2 linked regions of the Oreochromis niloticus genome follow. The protein of the gene in region 2 purifies or fractionates together with the protein of the main gene of each other region. This does not show direct contact. Links are inferred from orthologs where the notes say so. Each region holds a gene or a part of one and is shown on either strand. Other genes may lie near its edges.

What was found.
Region 1: the proteins of relb (region 2) and nfkbie purify together in Homo sapiens (affinity purification with mass spectrometry; 3 studies listed by BioGRID and IntAct, counting the BioPlex papers as one, with this or other methods). This does not show direct contact. The link is inferred for Oreochromis niloticus from reciprocal best matches to the Homo sapiens genes RELB and NFKBIE.

Annotation. Positions count from the first base shown.
Region 1 is NC_031980.2:14,160,795-14,176,539, forward strand, and holds the start of nfkbie (NF-kappa-B inhibitor epsilon), read left to right. Parts: upstream 1-10,063; 5' UTR 10,064-10,599; coding exon 10,600-10,922; intron 10,923-14,029; coding exon 14,030-14,132; intron 14,133-15,490; coding exon 15,491-15,701; intron 15,702-15,745. Other genes in the region: tmem151ba (transmembrane protein 151B), read right to left, coding at 510-1,952, 4,134-4,223. UniProt on the Homo sapiens protein: Sequesters NF-kappa-B transcription factor complexes in the cytoplasm, thereby inhibiting their activity. Sequestered complexes include NFKB1-RELA (p50-p65) and NFKB1-REL (p50-c-Rel) complexes.
Region 2 is NC_031979.2:23,748,621-23,764,563, reverse strand, and holds the start of relb (transcription factor RelB), read right to left. Parts: upstream 7,033-15,943; 5' UTR 6,258-7,032; coding exon 6,224-6,257; intron 6,131-6,223; coding exon 6,056-6,130; intron 5,309-6,055; coding exon 5,127-5,308; intron 3,806-5,126; exon of another isoform or gene 3,527-3,805; intron 1,834-3,526; coding exon 1,558-1,833; intron 791-1,557; coding exon 624-790; intron 526-623; coding exon 434-525; intron 314-433; coding exon 182-313; intron 48-181; coding exon 1-47.

The sequences.
Region 1 (15,745 bases), on a different chromosome or scaffold from region 2:
GTCTCGTTAGTGTGTTTTGACAAGGTTGCTTATCTTTGCGTTCCATTTCTCGTTCGGCATCCATTTAATTTTTTAATTTGCTGCTGAGTCAAAGCCCATTTCAGGCTTCATATACAGGGAAATGTTACTCATATCTTTGTAAATTGTCTGTGACTAAGATCTGTAAATATGGCATTTACACTAGGATGGGATGGCCCTTGATTTTCATTGGTTATCTGAATCTCAACAGACTCTTTAGGGCTGCACGTGACACTTTGGCAGTATCCTTTAAAGCCTCGCTGTATTTTAAACAACAGTCTCATCGGGTCTGTTTTTCCCTGATGTATTGAGTGATAAATTCCACACACATACTTTGTTATAATTGCTGTTGTGTCAGGTGACAGTATCTTTAGAAATGTTAACAAATCCTTGGTTGTGGTAACTCAGAGAATGCTCTTTTTTAAAAATCTCTGTGTTAAAGAGACACAAGAGTCCAATATGAAGAGTTTCCTTGGCCTTAGCTCGTGTCATCAGAGTGAAGTTTCTACACAGGAGCCATTTCTGTGCAGAGAGCGGTGGTCGTGGTTGAGGCAGCCTTCGTTGCGATGCACGATGAGCACTGGGAAGTACAGCGCGTCCTGATAGGCTGGAGGGTTCTCCTCACCGGCCTGCTGGCCTGACAGACAGCGCGTGCTCTCTGTGGGACACGACTGCTCATTCAGGCTCCCGCTGCTCCTCCACAGGCAGCTCCGCCTGGAGCCGTACAGCCGACCCAGCGAGAAGCGGCTGGCGCTGAACGGGATGCGGGGGCTCCCAGTGTTGCAGATGCTGAGGGCGCTTCGGGAGAAGATGGAGGAGCTGCTTATGGCACGGTGGCAGCGTTCGCAGTTCTGCCTGTAGCTGCCGTAGCCTCCGGATAAGGAGTAGCTGTTACAGCTCCCTGAGAGCTGGGCCAGGTCCATGAGAACCGCCTCAGAGTAGCTGGGCACTAGCTGCTGGTTGGAGCGGATGTGCCACTCTAGCTCTGTGCTGTCAATTGTGTTGACCCGTGGGATGTGTCTGCAATACACCCGCTCCTCAGATGGCGTTACTGGCACATAGTCAAAGCCGAACAGCTTCTCCACATGGTAGTGCACACAGGCAGTACGATACTCTGTCAGCACCCTCAGAGGCCAGGACAAGGTGAAAGCAGCTGCTACCCAGAAGGTGGAGTTGGAAGCATACCAGGGAAGGTGATTAGGGTCAGAAAAGGCAATCATATACTCCTTAAAGTCGACATTCTTCAGGTGCATCCCCTCGCGTGCCTCCATGTAATCATCAAGGCCCTCATTTTCTGTAAAGAACCTGGCCCGCTGGTTCAGGTAGGAGTTTTCAGACTCCACATTGGCAAAGCTAAAGCACTTGGTGAACCTCAGCTTGGTGATGGGGAAACCATCCAGGCCCAGTAGGTTCTTCGAGATGTCCTTAACCCCACAGTTACCATAGTCAAACTCCGCCTCGGCTACGTGGGTGTTTACTCTCTCATGGTAGACCTGTGTAGTGGTGTAGGCATCTCCGTTACGGTAACGTGTCACCTGTCGCGTTCTCCTGACATAGTGATAGCTGATGGCTTTCCACCAGATGCAAGGCGTAGCCTGCTGCATGCGCTGTATGCGTTCCGTCACGCTGTCCACATCAACCTTGTACTGCAGCTCATTCCTGGTGTAGCAGTGCCAGCACTCGACCAGGTAGACCACATAGAGCATGACCAGGAAGGCCAGGGGGATGTAGATGTAGCCATTGGAGCAGGGACTGTCATGGTACATCATAGAGTTTCCCTTGTAGGCTCTATTGAAGGTGAGGCGCGTGACCTTTGTCACCTGGCACCAGGCCATCACCCCGACACAGCCGTACATCAGCAGGGACAGCAGCAGGCATTTCCAGTGAGTTTCCTGACACAAGGACTTAGCCAGAGACTGTTTCTGAGGCTGCTGCTGCAAAAGAGAGAAAAAAAAAGAAATGATAACGAACAGGTATTAACATAAAAATATAAGGAGTAACCTACACCTGAAGATTTAAATGAATGGCACATTTTAATGTGGCATTGATGTAGACGACCTAAATACCTGTAGGCAAAAAGTTAAGGAGCAGCGGCTCATGTGTATAAAATATTTAAGGAAATATTCTTCGTTGTAAGTGCTTTTGCATAGTTTATGCATGAGCCAAGAGCCAACTGCTCATTTCTTGCTCTGTGCTTGTTATAATCAGACAATTCCTTCATTATTACCATTAAAATGCAAAAGAAATCTTGTTGTCATGTGAGAGTTGAAGGCTTGAAAGAACTGATATGATTTTGAACAGTCAAAAACATTTAGGCAGACAGGCCAGGCAGAAAAAAAGGCTGTAGTCTGACTTGGGCAGCATTTAGATGGTGCCATCCTTTATCTCCTCGGGGCACAGCAAGCCCCAGCGGCTGCATCAAAGAGCTCGAGAGCTGGTTACGCCCTGCAGGAGCACAGCCACACAAAACCTGGCAGAGATTCAAAAGTCCCAGGAAGGGGAAGATTATAACTAAATTCATTCAAAAAAAATTTGCATAACAGACCTTGTGCTGGGGCAGGACATCAAACACTTCAGATTAGACTGTAAATGTCTAGATTTTGATCTATAGGTCAACTCTAAACACAACATTTAAAAAAAAGCATCTGCTCTATCACAGCGTTGATTTATTGAACTCGACATGTCAGCTCTGTGCTCTTCGAGTGACAGACGAGCATAAATAATCGATGTTCTTGCATCATAATTAACTTCCCGACCTTGGTCACATGGTCCTCAAGTACACTGCCAACCCAAGGCTACACCCCACAGAGCAAAAGGGATTAACAGTGAAATTCCCCACTGAGATAAACCTCCTGCAGGAGGAGTGCTCGCTCACCAGCATTCTGGCCATGTTCGAAAATTACAATCAATACTACGTGGCACACTTTGTGGCTAGTGTTACATTTTACAGGCTCGAGGTTAATGATGAACAGTCGTACAGCATGAGATATCATTCTGATTATGGGCCTGCAAAGCAAATGCATCCCTGCATGTTACAATCTGATTAAAAATGTGTTAGAAAAACCTTGCGCTGGTCCTAAAATATGAAAGGAGAATCAATTTTTTAATTGTACTGAGTTACATTTATATTTAAGGCAGTTATTGTATGAAACAGCTCTAAAAGTCTTCTGTGTACAGTTGTGTACAGTTAGCTGAAGGCTCTTGTATCATTTTTTAACATTTGGTTTCAGTGTTGTTTTGTATTTAGTGAAAATTCCCTTTCCATGAAAGCAACAACTGAGAATCACTTCAACACACCACCTTATGTGCTTACATCCTAATGTAATTTTACAGTTTGCACTCATAGGAGTCATACACTTTAATATGAAAGTTGCTATGGTTAAAAGGAAAAACAGTTTCAAGAAGGTTCAAATCTGTACAGTCTTCACATTCAGGAGGCTGCTGTGGTGCCTTTAGTGCCTCTCGCAGTCATGGACACTTTCTCTTGACATAATAAGACCAGCTAGGTTATATAAAAAGACTCTCTTGTGTAATGGATATGTAACTTGCCCAGCATGTGTGCATGTAGGGGAAGACTGGAGAAGAAGGAGAGGAATTGGGTGCTATAGTTTAATTCAGGAAAACTGCTGTTGAGTCCTTATGTTTCCAAATCTGTTTTAGTTTTTCCCTTAAGGGAAATTTACAGACATTTTTCCCCCCCTAATACAACATTTCACTTCTCCCCGCCCTAGTAACGTCAACATGTCTTTTAAATGCTGCGTGACTTTCAATATCTTCTGGAAAGATATGAGCAAAATAAGTTTTTGTTTTAACACTTTCGTGTACCTGATTGTACCGTGATAGATTCTTAAACCTAATTTAGGAAGCCTGCCTGGAGGACACACAAAACAGGAGCGTAATCATGGCGTTCACACGCTCGAGTGCGCGCATGGGTTCGTATAATAGGCAAATAGAGCGCTTTAAGTGCTGTGCAAACACTTAAATCATAATCTAAAAAAAAAAAAGCCAAATGATTATTACAGTGAGATTATTACAGTGAGCATGCACAGAGGCAGCCTGTCACTTACACATGCCACACTACTCAAAAGCCTTAATTTACTGCAAACAATTCTTACCTCTTCCCGGGGGCTTTCCGTCTCCTCCTCGGGGACGGTGGTGGTGGCGGTGGCGCTTTCACTTGCCGTTGCAGCCGATGCTGGGGACATGGTAATAACAACAACACAAAGATCGGTGGTGCATGGATCTCCTGATGGGATGGGGGCTTTCCAAAGCAGAGTGAGACATAAACACGCCGCGAACTCCTCCGCGCATCATCCGCAAGAAACCAGTGCAGCAGGAACCCAAACAGAAAGGCTCAAAGGATGCTGCATCCCCAGCCTGTTTCAGGTGGGCACACTTCGCATAGTGTAGCCTACGGGAACGCGGTCATTGTGCCTCCGAAGAAGACTGAGAGGCTGTGACTCTTCTCGCGATGCAATGGTGATGGTGATGAGGACTGCAGCGGCGAGGGATCCAGTGTGATGAGGGAAGTGACAAAGCTCGTCTCCCTGCAGGCAGTGCCCATGACACCCAGTGAAGCTGTGAAGCAGGACAAAGGAGACGGGCAGCGGCACATGCGAGCAGCCAGCCCGACACCACGATGTAAATAACACGCACGTACGTGTCCACGTAACTCACAACAGCACAGAGGGGCGCTGCTGCTGCCGCTGCTGAGGAGGGGGTGGCTCCCCTCAGCAGAGATCTTTATTCTGATCTGTATTTAAGCAAGTGCTTTGAAAAACAGTAATAGTAAAAGCTCACGTAGGGTTTAAATCCGTTATATATATGAAATTAAATAAGTCACCTGTGATGCTCCTCAGATGGTATGATCTTTTGGCTTGTTTGTAAATGTCTTTGTTTCTTTTTGTCAAAGGGTTTAGTTTAGTTTAGTTTATTCACAAATCAATCAAAATACAAATTCCAACATAATAGACAAGATAACCGTTTGTTAAATGGGACTTCCCAAAAGCTAACCACATCTTATGAGTAGGGGCCTAATCATCAGATAATATAATTCAAATATAATTCCCAGGTCACGTTTCCTTTTTTTGCAGCTGTTTTATTTCTGTGGGTTTTTGTTATGTATTGTTTGTGTATATTGGATATTCCCTGGATCTATCCATTTGGCCTTTATATGGGTCAATAAATGTCTCTCCTTTTTTTTAGTCTTCCTATGTGTGCTGCATTTGGGTCCCTCTCTTCCACCCTGGACACGGCCACAGTTTGAAGACATGCTGTACAAGATGAAACATGAGACAGCGTTTGCGATGAAAAGTGTTTTAGTTAGACACTTCGGTCAGACTTTAATAGCTTTTATCCTACAGGAAGCAGCCATTAGAAAATGATTTCACTGTAGTCATAAAGGGATGGACACGATCGGCTACAGGCTGTGGTGTTTAAGTGACGCTCAAGTGTCCCAAAGTGTCCCACGCCATTAGCAGCCTGAACTCTTTATGCAAGGCAGGATAGATCCATGCTTTCATGTTGTTTATGTCAAATTCTGACCTTGTCATCCAAGTGTCGCAGCAGAAATCGAGACTCATCAAAGCAGCCAAAGTTTTCCAGTCTTCTGTTGTCCGGTTTTGTTCAGCCTGTGTGAATTGTACTCTCAGTTTCCTGTTCTAAGCTGACAAGAGTGGGCATCCGGTGTGGTCTTGTGCTGCTGCAGCCCATCTGCTTCGAGGTTCTATGTCCTGTGGATTCAGAGAAGCTCTTCTGCATACTTTGGTTGTAATGAGTGATTATTTGAGTTACTTTTGCCTTCCTGTCAACTCAAAGCAGTCTCCCCATTCTCCTCTGACCTTTGACATCAACAAGGCAGTTTCACCCAGTGAACTGCTGCTCAAAGCATATTTTCTCATTTTCTTCTGTAAATCATAGAGATAGTTGCATGGGAAAATCCCAGCAGTTTCCGAAATACTCACACCAGCGCATCTGGCACTAATGAACATACCATTTTCAAGGTCACTTAATTCATCCTTCTTCCCCATTCTGATACTCAGTTTGAATTTCAGCTGGTCATCTTGACAATGTCAGCATGCCTAAATGCACTGAGTTGCTGCCATGTGATTGGATGATTCCACTTTTCATTTCAAATAAACTTCCTAAAGAACATGTGATGATTCTACAATAAAGTTGTATTTTGAATTCTTAGCAAATTAATCTCATGACTCCACCAAATATAGCTTTCAGACAAAAAGAAAAAGAGTACAAAAGTTCAAGTTTAAGCTGAGATATGGTTTACTTAATGCTGTGAATAAGGAGAAGAGGGCAAAAAGACAGAATTGCCCCAAAGCGTTTGTCATAATTTCATTGTTTTTTGTGAAAGAAGAGACCATAAGAAGACCAAGCAGATAAAACTGAATATTTATCCTTGCTTTTGTTGTGCACAGACCTATTTAAACAAGAACACGTTCCTGTATGATCCTGGAACACCGACCTGTGTTTATCACAGAGCACAGTATGGACATTGGACTGGACTCCTGGCGTAAAGTGGAAAAAGTAAACACAACAGTAGAGGAAAACAGATGGTAACTCTTAACAGCACTAAATGCTTCCCTCTAACAGTCAGCATTGTTTTATGTTGTAGACTGTTTTTATCATGGACCTACCCCCCTCCCCTTAAAGTAGAGCAGCAGCTGTGTAAGTGAGCCCTCTAAAGGCCAGACCACAGGAAGCGTCTTAAAAAAGTAAAAGTAAAAATACAGATGATAAAAAAGGAAAGTTCTGAATATTTTCTTCTGTTTATTTGACTGCATCAGTCACAAAAGCATGCAAAACATCTACAGACTGACACTGTGAGCTGCTGCTGCTGCTACAAACAGGACCCCTCAGCACATACCAGTAGCTGCTCATGTTTAATGTCTCCTCACTTTTAAATACAGCAAAATGAGATTTATATAAACCAAGCTCTGGTTTTGCAGCTTCTTAGAAAAAGGACTAAAGCTCAATGAATAATGATGTGCTTGTGGTTTGTTGTTGCTACCAGTGACAAGCCTGAAAACCGAGACTTCCGCTGTGGACTTTAAAAATAAAAGCCACATGTTTTGAACGGAGTATCACAGTGGGATGCTTGTTGTGTTCTGAATGAGTACATTAATGAGATTTGATACTTCTATCTAAGTCAGACTTAGATCCCATACTTAGATTATCACACTTTACTGTGATTGTGCTCTGAACCACGCTCACCTTTGAACTCCCCCGCTGTTTTGATACCAAATACACATCAATAAGGTTTCATGAGTGCACCTTGCACAGTTCTGAGGGATTGTTTTGACGCAGACAGACTCAGACTGATAAGCTCTTTTATCACACCTACTGAATAGGCCAACGGGTTTATTTATAAAAAAGCATAAATAAACACAAATTATCATCGTGTTGATCTTGTAAATGCACACCAAATGAAGGTTACTTCATATGGCGCCTTTCAAACAAAAATAGTAGAACTTCCTTCCTTTCCATGGGTCAGATGACACCCGTGTCAAACTTTATTTTGATATCTACTGCACACGTGAAGTTTGATGAGTGCATCTTGCACAGATGCTATTGTGGTGATATAATTAGTCCATGTACAGACAAGCATACCTTCCAAAGTATTTGTAGCCTCTGTGGTAAATCGTATTGCACAGGGTGTCACCAGGATTACAAGTTATGAAGATGTGAGGCCTGCATATGCTCCAAAAGGGCTTAAAGGAACATGTCATTGTGTTAGCAAGTTTTAGTTCTGTGGTCAGATTTTGCATACTTGATGGTTTTATTGACAGTTGAGTATTTGTTTTGCTAAAGCAGTTCATTTAATGCTGTTTAAGAAAGTGTGCATGGGCTCATGCATCATTCAGAGGCAGTAATAATCACACAACTCAAGCAGGGAATAATCACATAAACAAGTTGTTTGGTATTTTGATTTTAATGTTTCATTTATTTGGTTATTGTATGTGATGTTGCTGCTTTCAGTAGCCCTGCAGCTGTGGTACACAGTGAAGACTAAGGTTCTCAGAACAACTGAGACTTAAACATCAAAAATTGGAAATGCAAACCAACACAGTTAATTTATTTGATTATATATTTACTGTTTTTTTATTAGCACACTAGACAAGGTTGATTTCATAGCGTGGGGGAGGTATTGTTATTAAGCATTTCGTATATTTCTTATTTTGTGCGTTTGTTGGCCTAAACCTCGTTGAATGTTGGTATGAAAGAAACAGGGGTGTTTCCAGGAATTGTTAATAGGGTGGAACAGGATAGAAGAATAACAGGGCAGGTTGGGTGGAAGACGGGAGGCTGGAAATCAGAATATTTGATCAGAAGTAAATACAATTTGAGGCTGGTGTAGCTCTATGCCCTAATATAAATGATATTACATGAAAGACTCTTTGTGTAAGCGAATATCATATTTCATATTTCTTAGCCTAAAGATGTATTCATGTTAGCCACAAAGTGAAATTTGCACTGGACGATGTGAATAGACACAAATCTGCCTTAAAGGTGTTTCAACTTTGCAAAAACCCATGAGCGGGGATTCTCCTGACACTGCCGACAGTCAGAAGTGAATGATGACTGAAGTCATTTGAGGGAAGCTGGAGTGTAATAGTTCAACTTTGCTTTTAGATAAAGACCGATGGGGAAAAAGGAGAGGGTGTGGGAAAAGCTGCTGATTGTACTCCTCCTTATCCCCTTGGCTGTTGGGGTTTTTCCACTGTGACTGTGCATCGTGGCATCAAAGTGCACTTAATGGAAAATGAAGATTATACAGAATCGTCCTTTCAGAATCATTATCATTTTTTAAAATAATAGTTTTTAGTCGTTTACTCATTGATTTATTAATGTGTTTATCACTTTAATCACCAAATCCCTCCCAAATTACTGAACTTCTTCCGCAATCTCATTCTTTCAGTTACTACCCAGACCTCGTGATTGTAGGTGTCATGATTGTTTATTAATTGACAACTTAATATATAAATATTAGATTAATATTTTAAAATTTGCAAAAAATAAGTAGAGATTTAAAAGTACATTATATAGTATATATAGCAACCAAAAATATAATGAAGTTGAAATACCATAACAGAAATATCTAAATGAAGTGCAAATACATTAAAATGTCATTAAAATACTTGAGTAAATATATTAAGTTACATTAAAAAACAGGTCTTATCTATGTTTAGCACTGTAAGACTAACAAGCAGTCATATTTTTTTTGGGGGGGGGCAGATGTCACCCTATGCCCCCCTCTGGACATGCCCCTGAAAATAAATTCCCGTAAGAGTTAGTTAGAAGCCTGCGAACTATGTTCACTTTTACCATGTCATCCTAATAGAGCACTTTGCTCTCAGACTGCAGGTTTAATTGTGGTTCCAAGGATATTTAAAAGTAGAATGAGAGGCAGAGCCGTCGGGTTTCAGGCTACACTTCTGTGGAACCAGCTCCCAGTTTGGATTCAGGAGACAGACACTCTCTCTACTTTTGGATCAGGTGACCCTGAATCCCCCCTTAGTTATGCTGCTGGGGGCTTCCCATACACTAAGTATTTCTTCTTCACTCATCTTTTTCACTCATTATGTACTCACACACCACTTTGCATTTAATCATTTGTTATTATTAATCTCTGACGCTCTTCCATAGTATGTCTTTTGTTCTGTCTTCCTCCCCTCACTCTCAAAAGATGGCTGCAGATGACTGTCCCTCCATGAGCCTGTTTCTTTCCTTTTAAAGGGGAGTTTTTTAATTCCCAATGTCATCAAGTGCTTGCCCAAGGGGATTGTTTTTATTTTGGGGTTTACCCTGTATTATTGCAGGGTCTTTACCTTACTCTATAAAGCACCATGAGGAGACTGCTGTTGTGATTTGTGGCTATATTATATTAATAAATTAACTTAGGCACAAAAAATGAGAAGACACGAAATGGAAAGTCATCAGTGGGTGATATGTATATAGCGTTAGAGTGTGTGCTTTTATTTTGAAAATCACAAAGTAATTCCGCTCTCACACCCGACTCTCCGGCGTTTCTGCGCGCGCGTGTTCGCGAGTGAACGTACTGTGTGTGTGCGCTCGGTCACGCCACTGGGGATTCCCCCGCGTGACAAAAACAGCTTTGCCTTTCACATGTCAGCTCTTCCCCTTCTCGCCTTTCATTGCTCATATGCTCTCCGCCTGGAGCTCACGCATTTACCGGATATTTAGTCGACGGGCAGTCGTTTGTGTCTTGTTTGACTCGTTTTAAACCCGTTTCACCGACTCGTGAGTGATCTGCCATGTTTTCGAAACTTTTTAAAACGCGTTAAATCGGTAAAAAGTGAACGGCTCTTCCTACACAGAGGGCACAGTCTTGTCGGTTAATGGCATGATACGCAGCGGCTCGTTCCTCTGGTTTCACGAAGACGGTGCGGCGGCTATCACAGGTGTCACCGGGCTGTCCGGTCACATCACCGAGCACCGAGCGGCTACAGCGCCCGCAGGAAGCCTTTAAATCCTCGGGGAAGGCGGGAGGGGGAAACCCAGCGAGGCCACCATCATCATCACCACCATCACCACAGCAGCACTACCATGGCGAGCCATGACTGTACTAAAGAACACTTGCCGGAGGATAACCGCACAGACTCAGGCATTGAGTCGTACCGCTCCATGGTGAAGTCGGAGGAGCCCCGGGGGCCGAGCACTGACCTCAGCGGGCCGAGGGACAAGTTCTCCGGCGGAGAGGAATGGCTGGACTCAGCCTACGGTTCCTCGTCTCTCACGGTAGAGAGCCTGTCGGATATAGTGGGGGGCTGCACGATTTCCAGCAGCAACCAGCAAGTACAGAGCTCTGAACTCTCTGAGCAGGAGCAGGAGGAGAACTTGCTTACAACTATTACAGAGGATGGAGACACGTAGGTTTTTAATTGTTATTCATTTAATTTCCATCAAAAATGAAAAAGTCTTGCTCAGCTTGCTAGAATATTTGCTGAAAGGGATGCTGCTGCACACTGGTGGGTGAATACAAACCTTTTTGCATTTTAACTGTTTCACCAGCTTTTTTGGCACCCGTGATGTTTATCCTTAGTTGATATGGTTGGCAATATCCTACAATGAGTTTGCACAAGCGCTTTATTATTATCATTTCCATTATCTAGTGATTTGTACATTAATGGCACTACATTAGTTTTAATTGGATCACTGCCTGATATGTAGTGGTGGGGATTTATTAGAAAATGTACGATTCAAAATGATTTAAAACAAGAAAAAAAAGTATATTTTTTTATAATTGGTGACCTGTAATTAGAGATTTTTTTGTATATTTGCTCCAAATATTGCACCGAATAATTTAAAGGTTATCAGAATAGTTGCTGGTTTAAATTTGAGCAGGGTAGTAGCTTCTCACTTCTTTTTTTTTTTTTTCTTTTTTTTTTTTAAGTCTGCTGATGAACTTAAAATCCCCATGAATGGCAATTCTACTGCAGCTGAAGTCTGTAAATCACATTAAATTTCAGGCACAGTTTTTCCCATGGCGATACAGGTTTTAAAGGGGATTTCATGAGAGTGTGATACTGCAAACTTTTATAATGAACTTTGTCCTTGTCGCAAATGTGACCGGTCTCCATTGAGTTGTCGACTCTCAGTCAGAAAACAGAAGTGAAACAGATAGGTCTGGACTTCCCCCATGCAGCACAGACAAAGCACATGCTGTGAGGTAGCTGTGTGGCCCGCTTTTGATCCAAGAAACTTGTTGATCAGGACAGGACAGTGTGTACGCATGTTTTCATTCCCTCCATTCACAGGCTTCTTTTTTCCCCCCTTGCTTTTTTTTTTTTTTTTACTTTCTTACCTCTTCCTTCTTCCAGACAGCTAAAAAAAAATCATTTGTGACTGAGCGGCTTTTCGCTGCACTTCATTTCTCAATTTGAGTCAGTGAAACTTTTGCACACAATCTAAACACCTCAACCTCCACACACACACACACACACACACACACACACACACACAACCTTATCAGCCCATGCAGACCTTCTTGTTTCTTATGTGACCCACTCATCTAGAGTTGCAGCGTCATCAACCAGCAGACCGATTTAATGAATCCTGCAGCCACGACCAGCCGGTGTGATCCTGATGTAGTCACATCACACTGCACAAGTGTTGTTGTGTCTCTGACCTCTTTTCATTTCCGCTTGCTGATTGTTGGGGCCACATGGTTTCATTCTCACACCCTAACTATAGATACCTGGTGGAGGGAAAAAAAAAACACCTGAAACACACCACAGTGCATTGCTTCGACTGACAGAATCATGCAAACACCAATTTTCCCCTGTGGGATTTTTTTTTTTTTTTAAGTTCTTATTCATTCAAGTCTTACTCAAACCAGGAAGTCCCTTTCACACAAAGACATTTGCTGACAGGTTTATGTCAGCGCAGCTCCATCAGTCTGCAGACGTAGCTGACATTTAAGCATCACAAATATGTAATGTGGCTTCTCCGTGCAGTATCCTCTCATCTTAACCATTACTGGGGTACTCGAGCGATGGATTAACACTCACCAACAGCTTTGTATTTTTACATTTATTTTCATTTTCTCTACAGTTTTTGGGAATTTTAAATTCCTAGAAATGCACAAGGAACCATACACTTTGTCACCTGCAACCTTCCTAATTTACTCACAGTAAGAAATGCCCCACGTCTGTTTCCTCATTGCTTCTTCTCAAACAGCCCAAAGGTGTTTAATTCAGTGGAAAAAAAGCCAACTTATATGCTTAATCAGTGTTGATAATAGTAAAGTAGTAATACATTTATTGTATTTATGGCAGTAACTACAAGAAATGCTTTTTTTCCTTGTTTTGTGACAAAAATAAGCGTAAAATATTGTCACCTTTTTAAAATAAACCTTATGCAGGTACTTTATCTTTTTTTTTCTTTGTTTCTCGGTGTCAGTAGCTGCAAACAAAATGTTCAGTTGCATGATTAATCCTTATAGATTTCAATAACTGATCACTTTAAAAAAGCAGCTGTATTATTGCTACCGCTACACATTAGTTTTTGAAACACTGATATTTTAAATTTGTGACTAAATAAAACTGAATTCTTTCCCCCCCCCCTTTGGTGTGGGTCTTTTGAAAGAAGTAACCACATTTACCATTTAACAAATCGATAAATGCCATGTTGTTTACTACTTTGTATAATTAGACATGTGGCACTGTAAGTGTTCACAGCTGAGTGTGCAGCGAGACGTCGTGGGAACTTTTGATCCCACTCTGTCTGCGTCTGAAGCAGCCCGCGGCGTCCAGCGTTGGGTTAAATGACATTTACTCTGAAAGCAGAACGTCTCGCTGCTAAACTAACAGAGAAGTAACCGCTGCGGCGAATCGTGCAGCAGTAAAACATCAACGCTTCAAGCCTGTAAGATAAAACCTGATGTCCACAGAATTTGGACTCAGCAGCGATTTTAAAGAACTTTAAGCCTCAAACTTTGATTTTAATCTGTTAAGATCCCTTTTCCAGATGGGGCCCTCGCTGTGTTGCTGTTGAGTCTAAATTAAGCACTAATGCTCAGTTCCATTTCCTGCTTTGCGCACACATTTGTTTGCTAGAACTTCCCACTCTGTTTTTTTTTTTTTTTTGGGTGGCGTGCTTTTTGTTTTGTTTTGTCTTTTGCTGTAAGCATTTAAACTGAGGCCTGTGTGATTATATCTGCTCACAGATGTTAGATTTTTTTTAAACCACCAGCACCTTGCTGTGCTGTCTAGAATTTTTTGTATTGCTCAATACCCCAACGACTCAGTCTTGCCATTCAGCCCACTAAGTGTTACATTTCGAGGTAGTCTCTTGAAATGAATACCGAGGAAAATTGTTAGGCAACATTTGTTGAAATTAACAGCGCTGCTTTTTTTTTTTTTTTTTTTTTTTTGGAGGGGGGTAAGTTGCTCAATTTGAGATAAAGTAGGGCTACAGATTTTTTCAGGCATAACAGTTAAAGTTCATCTTCTCTTTTTCTTTCTCACTCCCGTAGAATCCTGCACTTAGCAATTATCCACGAAATATCATCACTTGCTAAGGACTTGATACAGATATTCCCAAGAGAAGTCCTGGACATCCAAAATAATTTATATCAGGTAGGTGCAACAGGTCCTACAAGTTGCTTCTGCTGGAATTTTCTAATCCACAAATACTTCCTCATCTGCACCTTGATTGTGGAAGCGGTGGCTTTATTTATATCTCTGTACTTCCAGAGAACTCTTGTTCCTCTTTATTTGCAGTCCGTCCTCACTCGGGGACGTCACTGTGGGTGGTTCCAGTGTTAACTCATAAGGGACTTTGAATGGAAACTCCCCTCCTCTACTTCATGTAGAAATAGAACCACAGGGAGCTGTGGAGTGTATCCTTGTGTGGATGTGGGTGGAGGAGTTGTTCCAGTCCTTCAAGAAGTCCGACCAGAGACTTAACTTGAACTTGCAGAACTGTCAAAAGGAAACATGTGAAGTTGAGACTCAGCACTTCATGTAGTGACTCAGTTAGCTCTGTGCTGGGCTCTTTTTGGTTTCCTAATTTCCTCTTAGTAGTCATTCTAAGATTTCACATTTGGACACATTACCAAGAAAAAATTTGTTTGCAACCCAGGGGGTTTAAAATAAAAATGCATCTTTATTTCTGAAGGAAAAGTAAAACAAATGGATTAGAGATTTTTGCCATGTTTCAACATTTGGTCCTGTGAGTGCAAAGTCTCGTGGTAAAATTTTGATAACAAAAAAACTGCAAAACACATCTTCTTTTTTTTTTTTTTTTTTTTTAAAAAGGAGACAGCACTATCATACTGTACACCTACAGCAGTCTCAGTAAACCACAGTGTAGAGTAACCGCATCACTTGTTGTGGATTAAAGATAAAACTCACTTTCTCGGAAAGGGTTTTCTCTTTTCCTCACTTGTACCTGAATGCAGCAGGTACAGGCCTGCGCTCTGGGGATTTTCAAAGGGAACTATTATACTTTTACCTATTTCCTCTCATATTTATACCACTTTAGTAGTGGGTGCTCACATTAAACATGCCAAAAGTTTGGTATAATGAGGTCCGTAATCTCAATGAGCCGAAATTTTAGTGAAGCTTTGGATTACTCTAACGCTCAGAACCATCATTCATGCTAAGCTACTCTATTAGAGTCCAAAAATAATAATGAGGAGTTAGAAATGAGGATAAGAGCATTCTTGGAAATGCAGGGAAGCTGCAGCTGTGAAGGAGAAGTGACAGGGTATAAGGACAACAGCTGAAGAAATATATAAGACCACCATCAACCTGTTATTGTCAGTATGTTTGATGAATCAATGGACAGCTAGTAATTTTTTTGTGTCTTTGCTTAATATCAACTCTACATTTTAGTAGATTATTTAACATCTCAACTTAAATATGAACTTCTGACGTGTTTTTGTTTATTTTAACCAGAGACACGCAGGTAAAGTTTTTGTTTTGTTCCTCAGAGCCCTTTGCACCTCGCCACCTACCTAAACCTGAGCGAGGTGGTGCAGAGTCTGATGGAGAAACAGGTCAGCATAGAGCTGCAGGACCAGGACGGGAACACGGCGCTCCACGTGGCCTGCCAGCACGGACAGTTAGAGTGCGCAACCGAGATGACCAAAGATTTTTCTCCCAGCAAGTTGGCTCCGGTCCTCGAGACCCAGAACTGGAGAGGTGAGGGGAAAACCGTCATGGCTGCTACTAAATCTGTTTATGCG
Region 2 (15,943 bases):
ATACAGGTTCAAATGGGTGATCTTCAGCTGTGATGTAGTTGTTGCCTCTGGAATTAAAACAAAAAACAAAAAACATGCATGACAAATCGTGAGAATAGGGAAGTACGCTGCCTTATTTTTGGCGCGCTTGGTTGAAACTGTGGTCAAGGCTTTTCAGTGTGTTTGTGTGGTTATGTCTTACTCTTGTCATAAATGGGCTTCGAAACCACCGGGCTGAGATGGTCTTTCCTGCCGTCCTGCCACTCGAGCTCGCACTGAAAGCACAGACGCACTGAATTCATGTCCATGTCTTCAATACCCTTCGAATGCCCGGCTGAGGGGAGAAAAGAGACAAAATAAGTCAGTGAGGACAGAAAAAACTGCCTTTATATATGTGAATGAAGAGCAACTTGAACATTAAGGTGCAGCGTGTTGGCATACGTCTCCCACTCACTCTGAAATGGGTCGATATTTAGGCTTCTTCGCTTCTGAAGTGAAATGTCCAGCTCTTTCCGCCTCACACACTGAATACCGAGGTTAGCGAAGCTGGGTGTAAAAATGAGGGGAACTATTCAAATAAAATGTAAAGACACACCACCAAATTTAAATTCTCAAAATGGGAGGGAACGAAGGCGAATGCTCACCTGTGACGTCGGTTGTTGCGAGGGTTGAATGTGACAAAACAGATCCCTGTACCATTTGGACAGTCTTTACCCACGAGGCAGTGGGGGTGAGGCCGGTGTGGGAGGTCTTTGGTCACCAAGGAAACTGTGACGTTGACCCTCTTTAAGCCGTCGATGGAACCCTGAATCTGAAAGAAAGAAAAGAACAAGATTTATAGAAAAATCCAGAATAAATTCAGAGCTGCGATGCCTATTAATGTGATTTTCTTGATAGAAAACACAGAAAAAGTTGTCTAAAGTTCTTCATTTTTTCCCTGACCGACAGACCAAAGCTGTTGTAATATGCCAGACTAAAGCAGATAACCCTGACATCTGAGAAACTTGGCTTGAAAAAAGTTGAAATAAAAGCCGATTAACCTTCTCTACCTGTTGCTCCAGGCTTTTTTGGGTCTGTTTCCCCCGCAGACATTTATCTGGGGCACCTGTCAGACTTTTAACAATAGTTTCTAGAAGGTCAATACAGATTTCCTGGTGCATTAAAATAAAAACAAAACCAAGTCCTCTCAGTTGCCAGTTTCATCCAAAAATAATGACACATTAACACCATTGTTCAATTCTATTAATATCCATTACGCAACCGGACATTTCCTTGACTAAACTTTATATAACCTGGTAACCAGCAAGTCAAAGTGTGAATGATCGTGGTGTGTAGATGTGTGTGGGAGTGTTTCTTTAGTAAGCAGCTCGGGGATATACCTCCTTGTATCTAACTGCACTTGAGCTGGGATTTGTGGGGACTTTCTAATTGATTCAGACAAACCACATTTTTTTCTGTCTCCACCCATTTCAGACAGGAGGGGTCAAGTGAACAGAGTAAACAGGATCAGCTGTGGTTAAAAGTGCCTAACTGCCTCTGAGATCTTGTAAACTCCCCTTCTGAAATGAAAACTTCTACCTCTATTGTAGGCAGGGTCTTTTCACTGTGGGTGCTGGATGCCCCCAGGATGCTGCCCGCCGAGCGTCCTTCACATTCATAGCGAAACCTCATGCCTCTGTCTTTGGGCTCTTCCACTATCACGAGCTTGGGCTTGTCCAGAACACGCTCCAGAATGTCCGTGTCGCCCCGGTTCTGAGAGGACGGGATGCTGGAGTTCTTCGGGTTCAGCAAACACGAGGACCCTCGCCCAGAGGAAGGATGAGTCGATGCCATATCCATGACAGGGAGGACTGGCTGATGGGGGGGGACAAGAAAAAGCAATTTTAAGCAATTGACTTAAACATATTTACCTTGCACTAGAAACTTCTGGCAGAAAAGGCAGCATAAAAAGATGCAGACAACAACCAACCAAGCCTCACGACTGTCCCTAAAGGCTGGTGATGCACATCAGATGAGTCTTTTATAACCTGATCTAATGAGTAAAGATAATTTCTGTACTAGAAAGGCTTCAAAGCAAATCCACAAAACATCTGAAAGAAGAAACAATACTTTTTTCCCCACTGGTTTATTTTATGTTTTAACCATTTCTTCATCATGTTTGTGATCTCTGTGCTTTTTATTTCTGCTCTGGTCTTACCTCACGCCCCCACAGTGTTTTTTCCTATTTGATCTGTTTTAGCAGGAAAGTTAAAAATCACATGACTCGACTTCATATTTCTCACGAAAACTTAATTTACACTCAGAAGTTTTCTTGCTTTGGATGTCCAAATGCAGTGAGTCAGTTTGCTGACAGCACGAAACGTCTCTCCAGTTGAACTATGTCTTTAGATTTCCGATCATCAACTATTGACCTTTCTCAACACTCTTCCAAGAAGAAAAACTGAACTTCTGCAATAAAATAAAAGTACTGGTAACTGCTACCCGTCAGACTCACAGCAGATGCACCTGTGGTATCAATTACAAAATCCTACGTCATCTTGTCCTTAAGTTATCGCAAACTTAGGTGCCCACGTCATCGGCCTCGGTGAGGTGACGACAATACATGATCAGCCTTTTACGGCTGAGGAGTAAAAACCTGAGCTGACAGTCATAATTCACTCACCAGATTTCCATCTCGATGCGTAAAGGAGATGAAGTCACCAAGTCAAATACACGGACATTTGCAACCAGTCACAACCTTTAAGAATATCCACAGTTTCGAAGCAATGATTCACTCACTTTCAAAGCACAACTTCATAAAATCCTTTTAATAAAATGTTTCCCTTCCAAACTTCTAGGTTATCTAATTTAAAAACAAGTGTGATGTTTCAGTATTTCACTATTTAAAAAAATATAATGAGAGAATATGTTAAACTAAGTCACTCTATATAAAGCAGCTGAAAGTAGCTCCACCTTGACAAGCTAAAATACTACAATGGTACTTTTTACACACCAGTGTGTCTGTATTAACAGTCTAATGATGTTACACAGTTTTGCGGTTTTACTGCTGAAAGAGCTTTTTCCCCCCTCGATATCTTCGTAGTTTTAATGAAGAAAAACAACCTCATGTCTCCTGAGCAGTGATGACACTACAGATGAAGCATGCAGTGAAAGAACTGACTCATGGCGTGTGTTTCTTTTTGTTTTCTGTCCATACATGTGCTTTCTATCAGTGAGCAGAGTTAACCTCGTGCTCTGCGACGCCTCCTCTTGCATATGATGTCTTATTTTTTCCGTTACACCGCAGACCACCGAGCTTTTTCCGCTCCCACTCAAGACTTCACATCTCTTTTTTGTCTTTGCTGCTTTTAGTTTCTCTCTCTTTCTCTGCAGTGCTCTTCCTCCATCCTCGCTCATTTGTTTCTGCCCATCGAGGCGCCTGATTGCTTTCTCTTACATCACCGTGAACCCAAAGTTATCACAAATCAAGTTTCACCTGACTCACTGCAGTCTATCTGTTGTAGCTAATCTAAAAAAAAACAGATGATAAGAATGATAATGATCAAACCTGCAGGTAAGAAAAGTAGTAAAGAAGTCGCCTCCTTTGTCAGACGTGTTGCTGTGAATCATTAAACCATCGCTGCAGAGATGTGGGTGATACCTCTGCATGAGATCATGTTTCATAATATCCTGTCGATCCCCAGACGTCTTTGGTCAAAGTGTTTGTATGCACCCCTGCAATCGTGTTAGCCCCCTCCCCAAAAAAAGAAAAGAAAAAAAAAAGGACTGGACCTTTCAACAAAAGCCTGCTACACCGAGCCAGCAAACGGAAATAGGAAGTCAGCTCAGCCTTACACCCTTCAGCCAATCACAGCACTGACACGGGGGTGAAAAATGCAACCTTTCGCCTCCGGTGGGTTTGGCTTGTAAACAGAAAGGATGGCAAATTGAAAGCAGGAGTCAGATTACAGCTCTTCCAAAATGTCCTCCCCACTCCCCAAGCCCACCTCCTCTATAACAACAACAAAAAAAGCACAAAGAGGTGTGCCACACTCTCTCACAAGCTGCAAAACCTCTTCAAACCCAGCAACATAACCTGTGCAGCTCATTCACTAAGAGAAGGCTAAACTTCCAGCACCCTTCATTATTACCCATCTGTGCGGCCACTACAGTGCCTCATCAGATTACAGCCTTTCTGAGCTTCCCGCTGCCTGTAAACCACGTGCTTTCTGGTAGAAGCCGGACCTGCCAAGTTGCCTAACGGCTGCACTGTGCCACACAGCAAAAAAGCCAACCGTCTGCAGGCTGCACATGAATCATGCAGCACTTCATACCACCAACATTCAATCCTCACAACAGCCTCATTATGAGAGCTGCAGCCACCCCCGAGGAGGAACAGACGCTTCCTCTGAACGTGTTTTATATCAACCGCCTTTCAATAATAGCACAAAGACAATATGGGAAATAAAACTACTGTTGCTAATAATAAACCGAGGGAAGAGCACAACAACCTGCCCATCTGTGTGAGTGCTTTGCACAAACAAATGATAAGAAGAAAACCTAAAAAAAAAAACCATTCAGAGGAGCCACAAGCAGATACATTTTTAACAGTTTCTTCTCATAAATAAAATGTTTTAAGTTTTAGCTGAATCCATTAACTGTTTTAATGTTTATGTTGCCCAGCTAAGATAAGAAAAGGCTAAAAATAAGAATACCATCATTATTGTTATCATTGTTTATTAGTCATAACCTTTCTCCAGACAGCCTAGACTCCAGTTTCCTACCTGTTATACAGTCATATCAGCCAAAGTGATTGAATATTTACAAAATAGGTGCATGTACTGACATTTATTTCTCTGGTTTTTATACAAATTAAGTATCAGGTATATTAATTATGACTTGATCTAGTTAAATAGACCCTGTATTGAAGTAATGAGCACAAATTTTGCCAGGATCTGTAAAAAGTATGCCCCTATTCACCCCAGACTGGCAACTTTCACAGCCCACAGCTGATACAAACACCTCTCTGCTTGGCACCCTTGGGTGTTGCCAGCAGTCTTTCTGGGTAACGTACGAAACTGCAAAAAGAGCAGGAAACCAGAAAAATCAACACCCTGCGTGACACCACCTAAAAAAAACAAAAAAAACCCCAAAAGCAAAACACCCACCTTAGACAAGGTGCCTCTTGCAACCAGCACCGGCTTGGATATCTGCGTTGGTTTGTGGATGGGGTTTGGTGGGGTTTGGTTTGTGGGGCAGGGGAGGCCAGTAGGTGGAGGAGGTGGTCCAGGTAGTCCAGATGGGGTGGGTGCTACCTGCTCACTTTCTGCGATATATTCTTGAATCAGGTCTGTGTGAATGAATACAAACTGATGGTGAATCCAAAGTGAAAGTGCAAATGTTGTAAAAATCTGACACTGGTTTAGGGCAGCAGCTACTCTGTTTCTTTATGTTTTTGGATTAGAAAGCAGAAACACTTCCATTAACATCTTCCAAACCTAGTAGTATATTACTGCAATCTATTTTAAGACGTGGCAACGTGTCACAAGACACAGTGTGTCAGAATCTGAGTGGTTACCACCTCACATGAACCGTTTCCTCTGTTTTGTTTTTGTCACTGGTGCATGAATCTGTGGCACGTTGTTTCAGCACTGCACCAATAAAAAAACAGGCCTCCTGCCCTGTAGTCAGCCTCAGTTTAACCAGTGAAAGTGAATCTAGAGCAGTGGTTACCTGCAGGTAAATATACCTGTCTTTGGGGACCAGTGGTTGTGGTCTGTCATGTCTGACACTTTGTCAGAAAGCATGAAGCATTAAACAAAGCTAGCATCTGCAGCACAGTTTTCAATGTTAAATAAGAGAAATCAGCTGTTGTGACTTTTTTCATGTTTAATTTAATGTCCCAAATGTTGAGTTCTCCCTTTCTGACATCGGAAATAAGACAACCTAAGATTAAACAAGCAGGAACTCTGATGATGGTTTACGCCTCCTGCCAGAGGTCATCTCAGGTCACCGTAATTCCTCCCTGCTTCCGGCACATGCACGCAGAGCCAAAACAAAACAAAATAAAACAAAACAAAAAAGACCCACCACTCACCGAAATCTAGAGAGTCGAGGCTCGAACAATTGTCGTCCTGCGGGTCAATCCCGGGAAGGGGTGTTGTCTCCTCTGCTGTGAAAAATCACATGCCTCAGGATGATGTCAGCGCTTTTACGCACAAACACACGCAAAGATTCAACAGGTTTACAAAAGACAACCACCCACCAGAGGTACCGTTGACCATGTCCATGTCTATCATGGCATGCGTCCAGTCTTTAAGACCACCTTTAGGACCTTAAACTCCACCGTCGTGTCCTTGAATCCTTCCTTGAGTCGTCTCCAAACCGGATGACTCTGGGTCTTTTTCCGTCTCGGCCCAAACCTTCGTCCTGAACTCTGAAACAGCTCCTTAAACCACCTGTTAGACTGCACAGCGGCTCACAGCTTCTGTCTGATCCCGGGGAAAGTGTCAAACCGTCTCGAAGCCATGTGTCGAAATATCTTACACGAAGTCATCTCCGCTTTTGTGTTTCGGACAAGCTTCGCGCTGATTGGCTGCTGGACCGCGTGGAAATCCCCCTCTGCGCGTAACGTCACCTCACAGACGGGAAAACCCCCCCCGCGACAGCGCGAACCGAGCTTTTAATCAAACCCTTGCCGCTTTATTGATTTGCATAATGCATCATAATGAGGCCAGAATAGGTCCTTTACCCTTAAAAGCCGATTTCCCCGCTTATTATGTATGTAAACTGATCGCACGTATCGGCGGCTCGTCTTGTTTTCATATCGGCTTCAGTGCATATGCAAATCAGTTTTTAACTATTCAAATGAGCCTCTATCCCAGAGCTCATGCACCTATTTTTAGCACAAAGAAGTCAAAAAGCCAGCTCTTTCTCAGCCACACGCCCTCTGAGGCATTTCTCCTGGTTACATCATGTCTTTATCACGCTTCTCCCGGTTCCTCCAATCAGGGAGAAGTGGGAATTTCATAAGTGCAAAGTAAAAGTTACAATTTCAAAAAGACAAAAACAAAAAACCCCTCCCATTAGAAACGGCGCCTCTTCTCGTCTCAACTTAAAAACTCTTGACAAACTGCTGAAAAATTACGAAGCGCAGCAGCGACACCTGCTGGTCGCCCAGAAGACAGACGATTTAAAGGAAATGGAAATCGAAAGCGGGGCCTTTTAGGGGAAGCAGTGACTCAGCAGGGAGCAGATTAAAAAACAAAAATTAAGCAAGCCAGCTGCAACCTAGCTGCAGGCATGACCGACACGCTTCAGCCTGAGCTCTGCAACCAGAGGATGATCTGCGAGTCCTCAGTCCTCCTTTTGAAGGCAACAGAAGAATATCCACAAAATTTAATAAATATATATATATACATATATATATATATATATATATATATATATATATATATATATTTATTTTAAAAAGCTAAAACTTTATGGGCACACAGCATTTACTGGAGGCCACATGTCTTTACTTGAGTCAAAAGTAGACCATCAGTGTTTCATGACACCAAGCATCACCTACACCTGTCACTGGTGTGTTCCTAACAGTGTTTCCACTTGCCTCAAATGTCAGTGCAATGGGGAAACAGCGCCCTCCCTCCTGGTGCACAATGACTGTAAAAAGTATATGTAATAAGTATGTAAGTATGTAATCACTGCCAGTTTGTTAAAGCTACATGAGAGGAAATAAATATACAATGGCCTGTCTATTTCCTGGAAGGTGGACTGTGCGGAAAACCGCGGGAGACTGGTTTCTCTTAGTCCCGCCATTTTCTGTTTTCTTTCGGACATTGAGGTGGGATTGTGTACTTTCTCTTTGTGTAGAGGCTACGCCTATGCTTGAAGCCTCAGAGGTGTTTGTTAACGGGGGTGACGTGATGTCACTGGTATGCATGAATTAATTAAACAGTCCAATAACTCCAGCAGTACTTATCTTGTCCTTTTGGTCTTTATTCCAATATCATTTTAACATAACAGCGCAGCGGTCACAAACTGTTGACATAAACCTACCATACAGAAACTAAAAAAGGTGACCTCTAGCGGCAACATAAGGTATTAACCCAAAAATGGCTCCTACACTTTGGGAAGGAGAAAAAGAAGGGGGGGGGGGGATAAACACGTTTTATCTTCAACAAAAGAGCTGTTTACTACTCTGCAGTGATTCAATGTAGTGGTCCTTTGCTATGCATTTTTATTAAGGTCTATTTAGCTGTGCTCTTGTATTTTTTGGGAGGTAGTGTGTGTTTGAGGTTTTGCTGTATATTCCATTTGAGATGTTTTCTTTCACATTTTGAACTCAGAGTCAACTATTTTCTTTCCCCCTTTAAATGTACTGTTTTCGATAATCAAAACAACAACAAAAATCTGCTAAAGCATGACAGATTTTCCCACTTTTGGTAGGGGGGAGAGGGACAGTTTCTTTTAGTTTTGCTTGTGCTATGGACTGGGAAACACTGTTGTTGGGTCTTTGCTCTCAGAGCCCTCAGTACTGAATGTGGTTGCAAAATCTGATGTCAAAGAACCTGTGTGTTTTAGAGGGGATGGCTGTGACACATGCAGTGTTTGGGAATGGGGAAAATGATGATGGCCTTTTTAAAAAGAAAAGGGATACCAGTAGCAGAACAAGCTGATGAAGTGCCAAGTAAACTTGCAGGGAGGGTATGAGAGATAATCAGGGTGGGCATACGTAGTAAGCCATCTGTATGTCATGAGGGGGGCCCAGAGCCCATTTTTGAGATCTAAAAGCAGCACTTCATTAACACTGCCGGTTCAAGCATGCCTTTAGCAGATTTTTATGCAACATTATCCAACTTAGGTGAAAAGCCTGTTGATTACTGGCTCAGGTTGAACAGCGCTATGGAGGTGACAGAAGACTGCCTTAAAAGACAAATTAAGTCCTTTGCATATCTGACAAAAGAGCTGACTGCTATGTTTAACCGTCACTCCCCGGACTCAGAACTGTCTCCTATTTTCAAGTGCAAGTCCTTGCAGCGGTGGACAGTTGCTGATGTGTACGAGAAGTTGCTGGAGCATGGCAAAGATCAGAAGTGTGCCTCTCAGCTTAGTGCAGCCACTGCCTTTTAGTTTTTAGCGACAGTAGGTGAGTCCCAATATGACCCATATTTCAGAACACACACAGACTAAAACAGAATGATGAACTGCTCAATGAAAACGTCACCCTAGGTGGCGAACTGTCAGCTAAAGCGATGCTTGACGGTGGCTCCATGGCCTGCATCCTCAGCATCAATGTAATGCCCCAATTTTTACGTCCTGTAGCGTTGGAGACCTCGACCTTCCAACCCACTGATGTCGTCCTGATTGGTTGTGGTGGTTCAAGGACAGTTCCAACAGGTGTGTGGGACATTACCATTGAGGTGTATGGGTGTAAAGTTGTTCTGCCAATGATGGTGGTTGCAGGGCAGAGTGAGGACCTTATTCTGGGCAGCAACCTTATAATGCATCTGGTTAATCACCAGAGGGAAGAGGGAGATTTAGGAGAGGACCACAGTAAGACCCTGAATGCTGAAGAACTGACTAATAAAAATCTGATAAACACAGCTGTTGCATAGGCTGAGGTGGGAGCTGTCCTCCAGGGCCATAGTAAACACAAGTCAAGAGTGTGGCCACATGCTCTTCTCCTGCCTCTCTCAAACTGTGCTTACACCGAACTGGTCTGACTCTGAATCCTTTTTACAAGATGACCTAGTGAGACACATGATGATGTGCTGTGCAGAGTGATCCTCTATGTGGAAAGGGGGCAGAGACCATCAAGGAGAGAGTGGGCCAAAGAAGCGACCGATACAAGGAGACTCCTAAAGGCTTGGGACAAGTTGACCGTAAGAAATAGTTTACTGTATCGAGTCTCTAAGACCTACCTGTATGTTGTTCCGCCAACCGTGCATCCTGCTGTACTGAAAGGTGCCCATGATGAAGCAGGTCACCAGGGCCAACAAGGAACGGCGCTAAAGTATTTTGGGAGGATTCAGCAAACAAATCAGTGGATGTGTTTGTGGTCATAAACCACTTTCCAAAGATGGCTCAGGCCTTTCTAATCAGCCCTAATCAGTCTGCTAAGGCAGTAGCGCACAAACTCTGGCATAACTACTTCTGCATCTACGGCTTTCCAAAACACTGACCGGGGAGCTAATGACCCCTGCTGACTGCAAGTTTCCCCAACCTTATAAACAGTACATTTGCACAATAACTGAAACTAGCCCACTGAATGAACAGTGAGTTGTGAGGTCAGGTCCTTGATCATTAATATGCATCCAGTGGTGCACAAACTGGGTGTCATCAGGACGCCACAACATAGAACGAACACCATCCCCATAGACACAGCAGCCAGGGAAGCAGAAGAACATCACATCAAGAAGGCCCTGAGTAAATGTGGTTATCCTAGCTGGACATTTGTCAAAGCTGGGAAGTCACCTAAAGAAAGCTCCAGTTCATCCAGGAGAGAAGGACAACTGCTGCCTAAGCGAAAACCTGTAGTGATCCCGTATGTGTCAGGAGTATCGGAACAGTTGAGACGCATTTTTCTAAACACAGCGTCTCTGTGGCTTTCAAACCCCAAAACATGCTGTGCCAAAAATTGTTCCACCCCAAGGATCGGGTCCCCCGACACAAGTAATATAGTGTACGCTGTTAAGTGCCAGGAGGATTGCCAGGATTTATACATCGGTGAAACCAAACAACCTCTGGTGAAACGGATGGCACAACACAGAAGAGCCACCTCGTCAGGCCAGGACTCTGCAGTCTATTTACACCTACAGGCCAGGGACACTCTTTCAATGATGAGGATGTACACATCCTGGACAGGGAGGAACGCTGGTTTGAGCGTGGAGTCAAGGAGGCCATTTACGTGAAAAGGGAAAAAACATCTATGAATCATCTTACAATGGAGCCATTCCCCAACTCTCTGTGAATGGTACTCATGGCCATTGATCAGTGGTCTTTGATCAGTGTTTGTTGAGCAATGAACATCACAATTTGCATACTAATGATCAAAAAACTGACATCCCAGCCCATTGTTCATTCAGTCGGCTGGTTTCAGTTATTATGCAAATGTACTATTTATAAGATTGGGGAAACCTGCAGTCAGCTGAGACTGAAGAAGCCACTTTGATGAGTGACGCAACTTTTCTCCCACTGAAAACGTCCAGATGAAAAGAATCAAACTTCTGCGATTTGCTTACCTGGATGACTGAGCATGCATCAAGACAAACCAGAGACTCCTTGTCTTCTTTAAAAATACAACAAAACGCAGAGTCAAGGAGTTAATTTTGGCCGGCCTGTTATAGAGGGGGAAGCAGAAACTGGTTACACTAACATCATACACCTGCCAAACTGACAGGAATCTAATTTAAATGGTCAGATGATGTTAGAAAAAAAAAAAAAGGTTAGCTGAGGGTTAAAAGAAAGGTTTGGAGTGTCTCTTTTGTTAGTGTAAATTTGTTTTACTGTATCCAATATTTTGTGCAGCAGTTATTGTGACCTGCTTCAGTTCTCATGTGCCAAACATGACCTCAGTTTTACATGTCACAGAGGTGGTCTTGGATTATATGGAAACCGAAAGCCTAAATCCACAGAACTATTAAGTCTTTAAACTATGCAAATGATTTGGTACCCTTTTTTACTGTTAATCTGTTAGCCTTTCTACACCTAGTTTCCCTCTGAAGTATTCTTGTCGCATAATTTTAAGACTTCCCTTTTTTATTTTCAGTGTACTGGCCACCCCCGTGAGGCTAGACTCCAAAATATCAACCCACAGCAACTAATGACTCAATATAGAACAGTCTATAATTAGCACTATTTTATAATTATATGTTTATCACTTTAAGGTTTCCCCCTCTTGAATCATAATATTTTTTTTAAACTTCTAATCAAAAAACTTGAGCCACATCTCATTTCTATACATTTTGCTTCCAAAGAGCCAGACTTTCTTGTAATTTTTTTTTTTTTTAATCTCTTGAGCAACAGTCGTTTAGGTTTTCTGAAGGTCTTTCAAAGTTTTCTTTGGACATTGGCTGCTTTTACATTTATTTTTAGCCCAGTCCTTGACCATACCTGACCAATGACCTACTCTAGTAAGCATAAACTAACTCAAGGATGAACCAGTGCTGTGTCTACACATAACAGCTTAGCAAACAACCAGTTTCAAATTGTGTCTTTGTGCACATTGTTACTAGCAGCCTGTCACAAAAACACAATTAGTTTCATTTCTTTAGCCAAATCTACAAATCTAAGGAAACTGAAAAAAGTTGAGGAGAAACAAATGTGTGAAGAAATGAAGGGCAGCTCAAGACTTTCTTTCTAGGGGTGGGTTTATAAAAATCGATTTCCTGATTCAAATTGATTTTAGCTTGAATAATGCAATATCGATGAATTAAAGCCTGAATCAATTTTGAAATATACATGTATTTTGCCAAAAAACACCAGAATCTCTGGTTAAAGCTCATGAAACTATTTCCGGCAAACAGCTAAAACAGCAAATGATTAAATAGCAGGTAAGCAGATTTCGCACAAAGATGTACACACAAAGCACAGATCATCCCCATTCACCCAATGACTCGTAGACGAAGGGTCAAACGTGAAACATGCTTCACGTTTAAAAACATTGTCACAGATTCTCTTACTCTTGGTTTTGCTTCCACCACCATAAAATTGCTCTTCCTGTACAGCTCTCTCTCTCTCTCAGTGTACTTCAGGACCAGTTTACCATCAAAAATCTCTATTTTCTGCATTATTTGCTTGCTTATTACGCATCAGTCTACCATGTGTACAGTGCTGTCACCCGCTGTTTGGTTTTTTGTTTTTTAAAAATGACCTCTGACAAGAAAATCTCATTTTTGCTGTTCAATACCAAAGAAATTCAAACTCCAAATTACAAAGCGTCTCTAATAAAACCTCTGTGGCTGTGCTCTGCTTTACTGCAGCAGCATCAGGCAATGTTCATATGTTTATTAATGCTTTTTTTTTTTAGTTTTTAATCTATTGTAGAATATTTTTAAGGGGGTTATCTGCTATAAAAGCCAGGCCAGGAAAATCTCATGTTTTCCTGTGTTTTATCCTCAGCACTCACTGTCTGAGTCAAAGTTCAATCAAATCTAATCAAGACCTTGTAAATCTCAATCAAATCAGTTATAAAAATCAGTGACGACACCCAGCTCTACTTGTGTGTCCTCAACTCCAATCTGTGACCTTGAGTTCTGGATGTTATGATGGCTGTTCTTGGACAGCACAGACACAAAGAGTTACTGGCTGAAAATTGGACTCAACTCCTAACACAAAGATGAAAGAGTTCAGTAGTGTTGTTGCGATGTTAGCACAAACTGTATTTTCTGTAACAGCAATAGAAATTAATGTGCAAAATGAAGTGTCATGCAAAAATCTTGTCCTAAAGCCCAAAACAAATATTTAAAAGGTATCAAAAATAATAAAAATGAGATTTGCAAATTACCTATTGCTAAACAGTTTGACATCGGTATTATTAACATGAGGCTGTACAGTTTGAGGAAAATACAAAAGAATGCATCAGTGACTGAAAAACAAAAATTAAGTCATTGGACAATATTAATATATTTATATTAATACCAACAAGGCTGTTATTTTTATGTTCAAGTTTAGAACATTAACTATTTGTTTAAAATTCAGGGTAGTAGTCGTCATCTCGTGGGTAACGTCCTGCACGGTCATCCAGTCACCACCTCGCTTCTTCACCAACCTCCATGGTGGCTCAGGATCTTTCCAGTTTCCTGTACTACTCACCCGTTTCCGGCCAAGCCGAAACAGAGTGCTCACATGGAATGAAAAGGAATCTACACAAAGAACAAAAGCTGCACTTGGCCTCTTTTTCCTCTGTATAAAAATAATAAAATTAGCATAACTGCGACCTGTTCCCCTCCCAACATCTACTTCCAGACACCGTTACCCTCTGAAGTGAAAAAAAAGAAGAATCATACATATAAAATCATACAAATCATACAGAATACAGTACATCACGTTTTGTTTTACTTCAGTTGAACTGCGAAACAGAGGGCAGGGATGGGTGGGAGCAGAAATAAGAATTTACCAAGTCTACACTGAATATGACTCTCTGTGCATCCACAAAGAAACCAGAGGGAACAGCTGAACTGCATTTTATTTTGGTAGCGGCATCCATGACAGCTGAACAACAACTCCACTCTCCATGCCCACTTTCCACAAGTCCTCTTCACTCCAGCAGTGAGAGCCGGGGAGGAAGATTAATCATTCTTCTTCTCCCCCTCTGGTTTGTCTGTGATTGCAGCGGAGGCGGCATCTTGCGCAGGGGCTGCTGTGTTCTGGGCGTGGTCTACTCCGCTGGTACCAAACTCATTGACCCTATTGGGATCGACTCGATAGATCCAGCGCTGGTAAAGGTAGATGAAGAACACCACATCTGCAGGAGAGGACACAGTTTGGTCCAGTGAGAAACGAGCCCCAATCAGACTTTTTTAGTGCTAAATAAATAAAACTGAATTGAATTGAGACTTGTGGGGATAGGTTAATTGGATAATCCAAATTGTCACTAGGTGTGAATGTGAGTGTCAATGGTTGTCTGTCCTTGTGTGTTAGCCCTGCGACAGACTGGCGACCTGTCCAGGGTGTACCCCGCCTCTCGCCCTATGATAGCTGGGATAGGCTCCAGCGCCCCCCGCGACCCTGAAAAGGATAAGCGGAAGCGAATGGATGGATTGAATTGAGACCAATATGTCACTTATGCTGGGCGCTGGGCGATTTTTGGCCCTTTTTGAGACGATTTTTCAGTTGTTCGACCGTTTTGGGGATCGGGCCAAGTTTCGCCTTAATCGTGTGTCGTGCATCGTGTAGTATACATGGGGTAACGAGAAGCAATTAACACCTCACGACCATCAATCGTTTGGTCGTAAGAAAATCAAACTTCTTTGAAATCCTGTCGGCCGTTGTGAGGGTGTCAACGCAGCCTCTCACACTGCGCACGCGCAAACACAGAACTGAACGTGAAAAGACGGAGCGGCACGGCAGTGCAGCGTGTGATCTGGACACCAGAGATGAAAGCACAACTTGTAGAACTTTGGCAAGCTCATCTGAGCCTTTTCGATGTGGCCTCACAAAATTATCACAACCTCAACAACCGTGAAAATAGTTGGATGGACTGATCAATGTTTTCATTAGCAATTTAGCAAAGTTGATGGTGGTGTGTGTGTGTGTGTGTGTGTGTGTGTGTGTGTGTGTGTGTGTGTGAGAGAGAGAGAGAGAGTGTGAGTGAAAGACAGAGAGGGAGAGCGAGAGACAGATTTTGTGTTATAACCTTCATGTTATGGACGGACAGTGTGAGCACTCAGGTCGCATCAGAGCATCTGGCCGTATAGTGTGAGACCATGCATCGTGACCTACGAACTTCTATCCCCTGCAAGTCAATCGTACAGTTTGAGCAGGAGCTGAATAACGCGACTGGGGGAAAAAAATAAATAAAAAAAAATTGCAGTGTATGCCCAGCTTTAGGAAGCATCAAAAACGGGTGAAGCACTGACATCATCTCCCATCAAAGCTGAACACGCTATGACGGCAAAAACTGCACTGCAAGCAGAGAGATGAGAACGTATTCACGTACAGTAGAGGACCAGTCAGACCGTCACTTATAAAGAAACAAATATGCTCACAATGCAGTGCAAACTCATCTGTCTTTGTTTGTTTTAAATGCAAGATTTGCTTGTCACCTGATTTGGTTACTACATGCTTGTAAACCGACAGTTGCACAACATCCTGCACATGTATACAGACCAGTATTACCACAGCCTGTTATTCTAAAGTGAGAAATCTTAAGTACAAGCGTCCCTTGTGGCCGATTACTGCTTAGTTTTCTCTTCTTCTCACAAGCGAGAATGTTTAGTTTCATTTTGTTGTAATTGATATAAAGATAACCTAAGCCTTC